2 linked regions of the Caenorhabditis elegans genome follow. The protein of the gene in region 1 interacts with the protein of each later gene in a pairwise test. Each region holds a gene or a part of one and is shown in the gene's direction. Other genes may lie near its edges.

Region 1 (6,344 bases):
GCCGGAATCGTCAATTCCGACAATTTGCCGGAAATTTTCATTTTTAGTTTTCCGGCGAATTCGGCGATTTACCTGAAATTTTCAGTTCCGGCAAATTGCCGATTTGCCGAAAATTGACAATTCCGACAAATTGCCGGTTTCCCGTTTTGCCGGAAATTTTCTTTTTTGGTTTTCCGGCAAATTTGGCGATTTGGCGGACATTTTCATTTTGGCAAATTGCCGATGTGCCGATTGGTCGGAGATTGTCAATTCCGGCAAATTCCCAATTTGCCAGAAATTTTCATTTTGGCAATTTGCCGATTTGCCGATTGGCCGGAAATTGTCATTCCGGCACTTTGCCGATTTGCCGGAAATTTTCATTTTTGGTATTCCGGCAAATTCTGCGATTTGCCGGCTGGCCGATTTGCCGGAACTTTCAAATTCCGACAATTTGCCGATTTGCCGGAAAAAACTCGTTTGTCGCCCACTCACAAATTTTTAAATTGAACTTTTTTAAATTCTAATTAACTTTAGAACCTTTAAGAAAAATTTTGAAATTCTTGCTCAAATATTGACATAAACCGCCTATATACAGTACCTCATAAAAGCCTAGAAAGAATATGTATTCAAATTCAATCATAAATGTGTCACCACCTCATCATAAACAAATCTCTTCTCCCCTCCCATATTTTCTCACAATTTTATCACCATGGTTTCTTCTTCTTCTTCTTCTTCAGAGAGAGAGAGAGCGTCATTTCTCACACACACACACAAAATTTTCCTGCATCTCTCACACACGTTCTGTGCTCTTTTGTCTCTTGTTTACACGTCTGTTGTCTCTCGGACTTTATTTACGAAATGCTGCGTCTCTCCTGCCCTTCTCTCTCTCTCTCTCTATTGCGCCCAGAGACCACACTTTTATTGCCATTGTCGTCGTCGTCGTCGGAAATTTTCTCGCTTTTTCATCTTCTTCTTCTAAATAATCATGTTTTTAAAATTCAATTTTAATTTCAGGAACCACCGAAAAGCCACCACCAGCAAAAAATGTCCGCCGAAGAGCCAAAGTCCTACGTGAGTTTCGTTTCTAACGGTGTTGTAACAACAACAAAAAAGAAAAGAATAGAAAAAAAACCGTATCAGTACGGGGGTGATGAAAGTGCGGCGGCGGCCCCAGTCAAGCGTAAGAAATAATGAAAAAGAAAGGACAGAAACTTTTGGAGAATTTGCCCGTTTCTGTAAGTGTCACCTCTATAGTTCACCACCGATGTTTGGACTACTACTACTACGTGTTGAATCAGAAGGAAGATCAGACGCCGCAAAAAATATATTTGTTGATAGTTGATTTCGAAATTGTAGTTCTTGACACTGATGATTGATCGTTAAGTGAACAATTTTAAAGAAACGATTTTTGCATAACGTCCAGTTTGCAGCAATTCTACAGAATCAGGTTGAAAAGCTTCGAATTTAGAAACGTCTTCAGCTAAAGTGAGACCAAAATGTTTCCATCAAAAGCTCAAAAGGCATTTTTAATCTCTTTTTTCCAGCTTGAAACAATTTCCAGTTGATCTTTAAGATGCTTACCACTCGAATTTCAAATTGCTTCTGCAGTCTTCTATGTTAAGCCGTGTCTCATCATGAATGTCCTTTCTCTTCGATGTCTTGTGCCTTCTTGAAAATCTTCCGACGAGTAGTAACCTCCTTTTTCTCGAATATAGAACAACAAATGGCAGTTTGGCAATTTGGCAATTTGGACAAAACACTAGTACACCATGAGAACCTGCCTAAGATCAATGCCACATTTTTTCTCGCCTTGGCCCTAGTTGTGCAACACCTTTTCAACGTTTGAAGCAGGGGTGGGCGGCAATTGCCGGTTTGCCGGAAATTTCAATTCCGGCAATTTTCCGATTTTCCGCAAATTTCAATTCCGGCAATTTTCCGATTTGCCGGAAATTTCAATTCCGGCAATTTGCCGATTTGCCGGAAAAAAATCGTTTGCCGCCCACCCCCTGGTTTTTGAAGTGCATTTCGAGCCTTTGAAGTTGAAGTTTGCACGTGACGCCCAGACTCGAAATGCGGTAAACAGTAATGCGAAGACGCAAATATTGAGCATGGATTTTGCTCCGAAAACTTTTGTTGTTTGAGTTTCAACAAATCATACAAAAAAAATTTCGAGCTGAAAACTGTACCAACACTCATTATCGATCTCTTCCTCTCCAGAAAGTTCCGTTCCTTTTTTCAATTTCACTGTTTTCTTCGCCTACAACGACACGATGAATCATGGCGAGAAGTCGTATGCGAGAGACTGTACGAGAAGTCGGAGACACAGACAGATGCACAAAAAGAAACATTTCAATGTCGCCTCGCGCACATGCTGTCACCCTCCCATAATTCCATGCTCTCTCTGACTCAATATTGGGCGGCGCTTGCGAATGTTATGACTGTTCAACTGTCTGGTTTCTCTCTCCTCTCACACTCTCAGCTTTTGTTGAAACTGTTTACCGGTCGTCAGTTCTTCGTTTGACTCGCGTCCTGAACGATCGCTTTCAGTTTTCCTCAGCTCAACTCTTTACACTAATGTCTTCCACTCCTCAATTCCTTCGCTGGTACGAGCAGAACAAGGTAAAGCATGCCTCTATACATGGGGGTGTCAGGCTGTCCCATGTTTGATCTACAAAAAAAAGCGGGAATTTTTTCTCCTGCAACTTTTCGGAGATCAAACTGACATGGGACATTCTGACACCAGCTCGAAAATGGAGAGCATTCCAAGTTTGTTGGTTGCCACTAAAGTGACACATTCCTCTCGTTATCTGCTCGCCCACACCTTCGGTTCCATTATCAACATTCGAGATTCCCGCCATATTTCTGGTGTGTTTGCTCGGCGGCACATCACAACAAAATTTTGTGCAAAATGGAGCAAAATGGAGCTAAAAAATAGAAAGCAACTAGACAATGTAGAAAAGGCATTTTTTGTCGTCGTCAGCTGTATGAAAGTCTGGGGAGCGCGAAGATTGGTGGATGCAGATTGGATAACAGCTCTTCCGCTTTTTCGGGTCTCGCTTCTTGCTCGCTTATTCTGTTCACCAGTGTGTGACACGCGAGGTCCCCCCCCCCCCCCAGCATATATTTCTACATGATTACCCTACTGAACATTTTAAAATGGCATATGGAAGAAGAAATGGTTCTAGAAAACTCTACTTATAAATCTATTACCGAAACACAAAATTCTGAGAATGCGTATCGCGCGACATATTTGACGCGCAAAATATCTCGTAGCGAAAACTACAGTAGTTCATTGTTCATTACATGACTACTGTAGCGCTTGTGTGTCGATTTACGGCATTTCACAAGCGCTACAGTAGGCATTTAAGGAGTTACTGTAGTTTTCGCTACGAGATATTTTGCGCGTCAAATATGTTGTGCAGTACGCATTATCAGAAAAATGTGTTCCCGTAATAATCCAATTAATTTTTTAAAAAATTAAAATTTTTAAATTTTTCAGCCAGTACCATACCGCTCAGTGCTCCAGGAGAAGTTCGAGCCCGGACAGACGCTCATCGTCAAGGGATCGACGATCGACGAGTCGCAACGCTTCACCATCAACCTTCACTCGAAGACCGCGGATTTCTCCGGAAACGATGTGCCACTCCACGTCTCTGTCCGCTTCGATGAGGGCAAAATTGTGCTCAACTCGTTCTCGAATGGAGAATGGGGAAAGGAAGAGCGCAAGTCGAACCCAATCAAGAAGGGAGACTCGTTCGACATTCGCATCCGTGCTCACGACGATCGCTTCCAGATCATCGTCGACCACAAGGAGTTCAAGGACTACGAGCACCGTCTGCCACTCTCCTCAATCTCTCACCTCTCGATTGACGGAGATCTCTACTTGAACCACGTTCACTGGGGAGGAAAGTACTACCCAGTACCATACGAGAGCGGACTCGCCAACGGACTTCCAGTCGGAAAGAGCCTCCTCGTCTTTGGAACCGTTGAGAAGAAGGCCAAGCGCTTCCACGTCAACCTTCTCCGCAAGAATGGAGACATCTCGTTCCACTTCAACCCACGTTTCGATGAGAAGGTAAGGGTTGATATATGCCACGAGGCACCACAGAAAGGAGAACCACGACAAAGGAGAACAGGAACCACGTCCATTTTTCCGTGCCGCGAGAGGCACCACATTTTCAGGATCTGGAACCGTACCAACTGCGGTTTTTGCAGTTTTCTCTCGATGAAAAACGAAACAACGATGCTCCGATGTTATGCGTGTTGTTTAGCGTTTTCCAAAAGTTTTTATTTCAAAAAAACATTATTCTGAACGCTAAACAACACGCGACGCGTCATATCGGAGTATCGTTGTTTCGTTTTTCAGCGAGAGAAAACTGCAAAAACCGCAGTTGGCACGGTGCCCCAGATCCTGAAAACGTGGTGCCTCAAAATTTGCGGAAAACTTGCGGCACGGAAAAATGGGTGTGGTTTCTGTGTTCTCCTTGTTCACCTGTTCTCCTTTCTGTGGTGCCTCACACACACATACACAAAAAGACCCGCATTTTGTTTGCTACATTTGGGCAAATATGGCGCTCTTCAACAAACAATTTTATGAGACACAAAAGTTTTGCATGTGTCTATTTCTATTGGTAAAATTGGTGAAAGGACAAAAAAAAATCGATTTCAATAGAAATTTGACCAAATTCTTTATTTCCTTTCTTCCAGCACGTCATCCGCAACTCTCTTGCCGCCAACGAATGGGGAAATGAGGAGCGCGAGGGAAAGAACCCATTCGAGAAGGGAGTCGGCTTCGACTTGGTCATCCAAAACGAGGAGTACGCGTTCCAGGTGTTCGTCAACGGAGAACGCTACATCTCGTTCGCTCACCGCGCCGATCCACACGACATTGCCGGGCTTCAGATCTCTGGAGACATTGAGCTGTCTGGAATTCAAATCCAATAAATTATGTATTGATATCCCCTGTTCCCCCTCTTTCTTCTGTTATCCAGCTCTCCCATTTCTCTCTCTCTCACTGATCAATCTTCCAAAAGTCTACTGCCCCTCTCCCCCCCCCCCCCCCCCAAAAAGAATCATTTCTCTATTATTTCGCACCGGCAACTGAACTGTAATCCCGCGTTTTTCTTTTTGTATCTTTTCTCACCCCCCACATTGTATTTTAATAAAATTGGATAGCAGATTTTCTCGTTGTCATTTCAGGTTTCATATTTTGAAAGCGGATCATCATGAAAAGTTCTGCGAAAAAAACGCGAAAAGTAAGCGAAAACTCGAAAAAACTATATTTGAAAGTACCGCCGTTTTTGTCCAGGAGAGCGCGTTTTCCTCGAGTCACTACAAATTGCACGGAAGTCGAATCGTGAAAACCGCGCGTGTTTCCCATCAGGTTTGCCTACAAAATTTAGTTTTCTTCTTATTGTTAAATCAATAATTATTATAATGTATAATGTGAAGCTCGAAATCTTGAATAATCCTGAATAATCCTGCTATAAACTCGGGTTTCTAAAGTTTTCCTCAGGATTTTTGTTCCCTGGAATGCGTGGTGTCTCCCATTTTTTTTTGGATTTTTGGATTTAAATGCATTTTTCGCTGTTTTTTCTCTCAAATAAGCCGGAAAAATTGAAAATTTTCAGTTTCCGATGAGCGCCGACACGTCGGCTCGTCTTCTTCAGCTTGACCCTCTACTCGAAGCGAAAAATCCGAATGTTCGAAATGAAGCGGCCGCTGCGTTCGGGAAATTGTCAATTTTAAGTGAAGACGTGAAAAATGTTGGTTAATTAATATATATTTTTTTTAAATCACAAGAAAAAGTAAAAAATCACGGGTGAAAAGCGAGTTTATATATTTTTTTCCCTCGAAATGCCGAATATTAATTATAAAATTCAGTATTTTTGGGTTATTTTGAGTATTTTGAAGGTGTACTAACGGTTTAGACTCAAAAACCGTTAGTCTTCGTTTAAAATACTCAAAATGCCCCAGAAATACTGAATTTTATAATTAATTTTCGATATTTCGAGTGAAAAAAACATATAAGCTCGCTTTTTTCCGGTGATTTTTCACTCATTTTCAGTGATTTTTTCACTTTTTTCAGGGGTTTATCTTTTTTAAATACTTTAAATATATAAATAATCTTAATTTCAGAGTCTCAAAAAACACGCGGCATCTCAACTCTGGGAGACACGAGTATCTGCTGGAAAAGCGTTGCAGGCGACACTTCAGAATGCTCCAGAATTCGAACGATTGAAGGTTTTTCTGAGCTTTTTGAGTTATGAAATTCTTTAAAAAAATCGATTTTTCAGAATGAAGAAGACTCATCGGTATCGGAAAATGTCAGAAGCATCGTTGTGATGAACGTTTTACGATCGTTC
Region 2 (6,634 bases), on another chromosome or scaffold:
TTGGACTTCCATGCTTCTCCCCAATGTCATTTCCAACACCTCCGCCATCTTTGAAAAATGTCAAGAAAGAAGAGCAAGAGGATATTGAGCAGGAAATCAATGTAGTTTAATTGCAAAATTTAATTATTAATTTTAAATTGTTATACTTTAGTTCGGGTCACATGATCACTTTTTCTGTTAATTTTTTCTGCATAGAAGATTTTTTGTTTCTGAATTTGGACATAATCAAATAAATTTTATACGGTGTAATTATCTTCCAGACAAGTAGGCAGGCAGGCAAAAATGCTCTTCTGCGGGCATTCACAAAAAATAGGTCTTCTATTGCCCATGCCAATTTTTTGAAAAAATAACTTTAACTTTAAAAACCAGTTTTTTTGCGGCCTTTAAAATTGAGCAATTTTTCCTTTAAAAAATTTCCAAAAAACACCATGGCCGAATTTGTATTTTTCGCGGCCACGAGACTTCAATTTTTCATGGCAATGTTTTAAGAAACTTTTATGGTTTTTACAGTTTAAATTTTTTCCACCATAGAGCATAACTTGCCACGTGGCCGAAAAAAAACGGTGGCGGAGTTTCTTCAATTGGTTCTTTCTGCCACCAAGACTAAATGCGGGGCCGAGGTTTCACACGTTCTAGGCCACGCAATTTCTTTTTTGAACTGTTTTTCTTCTTTCCGTTCCTTCAATTTTCTCCGTTATGGCCTAGACTTTCTTGTGAAAAACTATAGTTCTTTCAATTTTGAAATTGCGAAAAATCGGCAAAGTCGACCTGCTCAATATGATGACGTGGAAGATTCTGCATGAGAATTACACAGTGTGTCATCACCCCTCTTACACTTTTGTTCTCTCCCATCACAGCCTCCCATACACACAATTTCACTACAGTTTTGCTCCTCGCGCGGCTTGATTATCATTATGTTTATATGGTCAAAGCCGAGTTTGAAGTACGCCCGGGCGGCGAATTTGCATAACCCCACAGAGAGACAAAGTACTGTGTCGGTCATGTTCGATCAGTGGTTAACAGTACATGTATATATGAGATTTGTTTTAAAAGAGCAGCTTCTTCTCTACCACCACCACTTGAGTCTACGTTTGCCCCACAGAGGGTGAACAAACGGCGCTAGGAGCCCGAGTTATTTCGAGATGTGTCACTCTTTTACAAGTTCGTCGCCACGTTTGACACTTTTTAATTTTTTTTGTGTTTTGTGCATTGGTAATTAATTTGTATATTTTTAAAAGTTATTTGAAAAAGTTGGGTCTCGCCGCGAAAATTTCGAAAATTGTTTTTCAGTCCAATTAGTTGCTATAATAATTTTTTGGTTTTTTTCTGTAATTCCTCAGCTTTCTGCTTTTTTAAACACTCAAGTTTTATTTTATTACCGTAACTCCCTTTAAAAAAATTGCCCAGGCATGAAATTTTGTGAAAAATACGGTATCCGATCTCGACACGACAATTTTTTGTTAAATAAAAACGGGTGTGCACCTTTAAAGTGTACTGTACTTTTACACTTTTGTTGCTTTTATATTTTCGCCGATTTTTCATAGTTTTTATTACAAGTTATTACAATTTATTGATTTTTAATTTTTTTAAAATTCTAGTTTTAAATAAATAAAGATTTTCAACGAAAAATTATGAAAAATCGATGAAAATTCCGCAGCAACGAAAGTTCGAAATTACAGTACTCTTTAAAGGCGCACATCGGTTCGTAATTCACAAAATTGGCGTGTCGAGACCGGGTACCGTATTTTTTCCCATTGAGCAAGTATTTTTATATATTATAGTTTTACAGGATATTTTAAGTTTCGGTTTTAGTTTTTCTACAACAGCTTTTCCATCATTTCCCAACTTTGTTCCAGGTGACACTCGAATTCTGCCAATTTTCACACGCAATCCCAGCGCAAAACGATTTAAACAGTAGAGTATTTAGTAAAGTAACGATGTTCATGCTTGTTCAACGAGAAACACACATAGTTTTGTTTGCTTAACGGATCAGGAACTTTTCCAATCATTTGTCTCCACTTCTACCTCGGTTAACAATGGGTTTAGAGAGTTCAAGCGTGCTGCTGAGATTTCCGGAAAATAGACAATTTTCACTTTTCAATCGGATTTCTTTTTAAAATAAAAATATAGCTTTTTCGGATGGAAAACTAAATAGTTCTGATAAAATTTAATTTAATTTTTTAATAAAAATTAAATTTTCACTCAACTACGGTAGATCCTTTTCTGTGCGTCTTCGGTGTTTGCGTGTTTGCGTACCCATTTAGGCCGCCTATCTTTATTATTTGAATTTTGGTGGATTTTTATCATAATTCTCCAATTTTTTGAACTTTTCGCAACATTTCCCGCGTTTTAATCCATAAAATTGTTGTAACAGCTGTTGAGAATAACTTGCAACCGAAAAACGCGCGTGTTTTCCGCATTTTTCGCACACTGTTCCACATTTCGGATTATCTTCACCACAAAATCTCGCCTTCTTGGGAGATCGCTCGCCGCCTATGTGTAAACGTCTCCTGTTTCCCAATTGAAAAACCTCAAAGATTATGCTTTCAGTATATTTGAAATCAGATACCTCTAAACTCCCCAATTTTGTGCTCCCGTTGCTTGCTTCTAACTTCCTTTGTTTATTTTATTCATTTTTTTCAACTTTTTTAGTTTCGAATTCCAGGTTTGTGCACTCACTACGAAATCTCTTCGAAATAAAAGCGAGTAGGAAAGTAATCACTAGCGAAAATGACGGATTCTCAAAGGTAAGAGAAGAGAAATCTGCTCGAGCACGGTTTTTTGTTGCATCTGTCGACGTTATTGGCTTCGATTGTGTGAGTCACTAATGACAGATGTCTGTGTCCAAAAAATAACTTTTTTGAACGAGCTGGTACCTCCGCCGGCTGTCTTTCGCATCTGTCCCCGGTCACTATGTATTCTTCATTTATTTCGGTTTTCAGCACTCAAATGGGTCGTGGAAGACACGCTAAGCGAAACAAGAGCACCGCTTCCGTCGGCAGCAAGAAAAATCGCACACAGTCGACTGCATCTGGAAAATTCCAGCCAAGCGTTGTAAGTGATTAATGATTATCAATTTCGATTTCAAATAATAATTTTCTATTTTTCAGGATGGTTTCACCACGTTTATCGTGGCAGTTTCCAGACTAGGAAAGCAAGGACAAGAGTTCACATGGCATGATCTGAGAAAGGTTTACCATAAGGAGACCCAACGTCAACTCACCGCCGAAGAGCTCAATGCGATCTTCTCATCGAAGAACTTGACCAAGTAGACTGAATTTCGTTTTTTTTAAATCTAATTTCACTTTTAGACGAGAAATCTTCGAGCTTCCAAAGGTCAAAAGGTTCATGACATCGATGGATGGGAGTATGATGTGCAGGTTTCGCCTGATCGCCGATCCACAGGAAGTTTACGATGACGATCTCCCTCCATTGATGTCCACATCGGTCGAAACCGACGGTAGGCACCCCTAGTTTCAGAAAAATAATTTTAGTAGCTAATTTTTCTAGTTATCACTGAAGACACGTCATCCGATCACTCACAAGCTGTATCACCATCAAGTGGGAATCCGATTGCGATCTCAACAGACTGCGATGACAAAGCAGCTGGTCCAACTTCGGATTTAAGCAAGTCCGACAACTCTCCATCGCAAAGGTCTCTGGCACAACAGTCTTCAATGACTGATGACGAAGGATGGGTGTCTGGGAAGGATGTAGGTGGAAGTATACCCAATTTTTAGTATATTCAAATTTTCAGGTTCGCTCGGAAAATTCATCGCCGGTTGAGGATAAGGATGAGGTTGACGGTTCTAAGATGGAGATGGAAGACGATGTCTTTGAAGAAGATCAGAGAATCGCTGCTGAAAGCGATCAGGTCGACAGTGCAATGGTTGCTGATGTGATTATTGTGGAGGAGGCAAAAGTTGAGAAGCTTTTCAAGGCTCAAGAGATTGTGGCTCCGATAGTGCTCACGGAATCAATTGATGCCGCCTTTGAAGCAGTTATTCAATCAGTTTCACATGCGGATGCAACTCTTTCCATGACACAGTAAGTTTCCCTTATCGTCCGCCACCATCAACACTTTTACTTTTCAGAAACGCTTCCGAAGAGGCGAAAGTGCACGCGACGCCGCCGTTGCCCGCCGAAAGAAAAACTATGGTGTCCGCAGAACTCGCCAACGGGAAACCCATCAAGCATCTCATCGAGAAGTTCGATGCCGGCGTCAACTTTGCAGAGCACAAGCCAAAATCCATTTATGCGCAGGTTCTCGAAGAAATTGGAGGCTCCGCGCCTAGAGTGGATGAAGTGTTTTCGGCGTCAAAGAAGGAGGAACACGCGGAGACTGAAGTGACAAATGTCATCTTCAGAAGCACTTCTACTCACAGTAGCATCATTGCGAACGGGAAGGAGCAGCTGGCCGAATTCGTCGCCGAGCAAGAAGCCAGACAAAAAGTCACTACTCCTAATCCAGTTAAAGAGGAAACTGAGAACGCGTTCTGTGCCAAAGAACAATCTTCAATGTCTTCATTGGATCGAGAGTACTTTGCATCCAAGACTAAATTGAATGAGGATCTATTTGCAGAGGTACTAATATTTTAATAATCAAGTTTTTGTTTTTTAATACTGAAATTTTTAGCTCGGAGTCAAAGATACCGATGGTTTCCAGCTCAAAACAGTCGACAGTAATGGCAGTGGACCAGGATCCTCGGAGATCATCACAGTCATTGAGACTCCATTGAAGGATGATCACCGAAAACGAGCAGATTCCGTGGAGGTTTGCTGATGCGATTTTCTGAATTAAATTATTAAAATTAGTTTCAGAGTGACGCAGATGTTCCATACTCATTGTGCAGTGAAGATGAAGCGGAACCGATGACAATGATCGACAAGTCGATGAAAGTATCACAAAGTGCCGAGCAGTTGTCCCCTGTAAAAGAAGAGCAGAAGGCTAAGACTGTAGTAGTCAACGTCGAGCTGGACGGCAATCGTGCGGATCCCACAATCAAAGATCGCATTGCAGCACTGCAGGCGATAGTGTCAAAGCAACATGTGCCAATCGCAAAAGTGGACAGCGTCGACGATGATGTCAGGATTCTCAGCAGAACCGAGGAGCTTCAACATATGGCACTGGAGGCGAAACCTTCCCCTCAAGCGGTAATTATAAATATTGCTCAAGAAAGTATATTTATTTTAAATTTTCAGCTCGGAGCACTCCGCCGCCGCCACGTTCGATTCATGCGAGGATGCTGCGTTGTCCAGTAGACTTCACCTCCACATCTCACAATCACTCCTCACATCCACGTGTCATAGTGCTTAATTGGTGCTATTAAATCGCCGCTGTAAATTATCAGTCCTCACCACACTCTATATTTTATCCAGATAACTTTCTTTTGTATGTGTGTGTGTGTTTCGAGACAATTATATTCTAATTTCTAATTTTATACCCCCTCCCTTCTACCGTGTGTGGTTTTCTAGTTTACGTGTTCTCAGGGTAGCTGAGAACTTTTCCCCCATTCAACAACTAGAACCAACACGAGTTCTAATTTTTATAACTCTAAAATTCCACGCGCACAAACCAATTTCGCCGTTGTTTCTGTTTTTGTTAAATGAAAGAATATTTTGATGATTTTGAAGGAAACATTTATTATTCTTAGCACAAATCAACATCCTTGCACGCCTTGTCTGGAGAATCCTTGTTCTCAATATCCTTTTTCAGCTCCTTCTTGACCTTCTTCAGCTCTTCCTCACACTCGTGATGCAACGGCAACAGCATAGTCCAGCAAAGAGTTCCGATGTTCACATCAAGCCATGCATCGAGATCATCATCTCCAACCTTCTCTCCACCCTGAAATATGTGAATAACGAGGAAAATTGGAGATATTTGGAGCACAAACCTCGACGAGAGCCTTGCAGACATCACAGAAAACACCGTGATGCTTCTTGAGATTGAGTGGGTTAGCTGGATTGGCTAGAAGTGGAGCAGCGGCGAGCAAGACAAGGAAAAGACACGGAAGAATGCGAGTCATTCTGTAGATTTTAAGATGAAAAACTGGAGAAATGAAGCGAAAATGCACCCGGAGCAGTGATGCTCGTGTCTTTTATCAACTTCGCGGCGGCACTGATAAGGAATCGAATCGTTTCTGATGTTTTCAGCATGGAGGAAAAGATCAAAGGACATTATAGAATACACACCGGGTCGTTCACACATCAGATGCCGATTTTTCGAACTGATAAGATCGCTTAGAGGAGTAGCTTTTCGCCTTGACGGAGAAAATATTGATTAATCAGGTTAGCAGTAAAGTAAATGGTGTGGGCATGTGATTTCTTGATAATTTGAGGAAGATGGAGGCAATCAATTTACTTATTTCAACAATTCTGGGGAAGCTTGAACAAAATCAACAAAGTTAAATAAATACGTAATTAGATAAATATTCACATTTCTTCTTTACAAATAGGCTCTCCGGATTTTTCAACTTTCAAATGCTATCGTCGCTTCTCGTGAGCGCATCCCAGGCGATTTGTCGATATCTGAAAGAGAAAATTGACATTTAAAAATTTAATTAAAAAAAAAAAAACAAACCTCTTGAGCTGCTGAACGGGCTCACTGGACGACGTGACGCCTCTTCCGACGATG

What was found. Proteins that work in one complex are often made in the same cells at the same time.
Region 2: the proteins of lec-1 (region 1) and T07C4.3 interact in a two-hybrid assay, tested with the Caenorhabditis elegans proteins (2 studies listed by BioGRID).

The regions. Positions count from the first base shown.
Region 1 is NC_003280.10:13,194,556-13,200,899, forward strand, and holds lec-1 (Galectin), read left to right. Parts: upstream 1-2,390; 5' UTR 2,391-2,553; coding exon 2,554-2,598; intron 2,599-3,478; coding exon 3,479-4,054; intron 4,055-4,686; coding exon 4,687-4,923; 3' UTR 4,924-5,158; downstream 5,159-6,344. Other genes in the region: btf-1 (BTAF (TBP-associated factor) homolog), read left to right, coding at 5,616-5,744, 6,118-6,222, 6,276-6,344. UniProt on the Caenorhabditis elegans protein: Binds galactose.
Region 2 is NC_003281.10:10,349,492-10,356,125, forward strand, and holds T07C4.3 (ANK_REP_REGION domain-containing protein), read left to right. Parts: upstream 1-2,663; 5' UTR 2,664-2,730; coding exon 2,731-2,747; intron 2,748-2,942; coding exon 2,943-3,054; intron 3,055-3,110; coding exon 3,111-3,268; intron 3,269-3,311; coding exon 3,312-3,460; intron 3,461-3,510; coding exon 3,511-3,713; intron 3,714-3,757; coding exon 3,758-4,047; intron 4,048-4,094; coding exon 4,095-4,584; intron 4,585-4,636; coding exon 4,637-4,774; intron 4,775-4,815; coding exon 4,816-5,154; intron 5,155-5,202; coding exon 5,203-5,262; 3' UTR 5,263-5,626; downstream 5,627-6,634. Other genes in the region: T-box transcription factor tbx-8, read left to right, coding at 1-110; spp-1 (Saposin B-type domain-containing protein), read right to left, coding at 5,651-5,845, 5,895-6,026; umps-1 (Orotidine 5'-phosphate decarboxylase), read right to left, coding at 6,477-6,528, 6,581-6,634.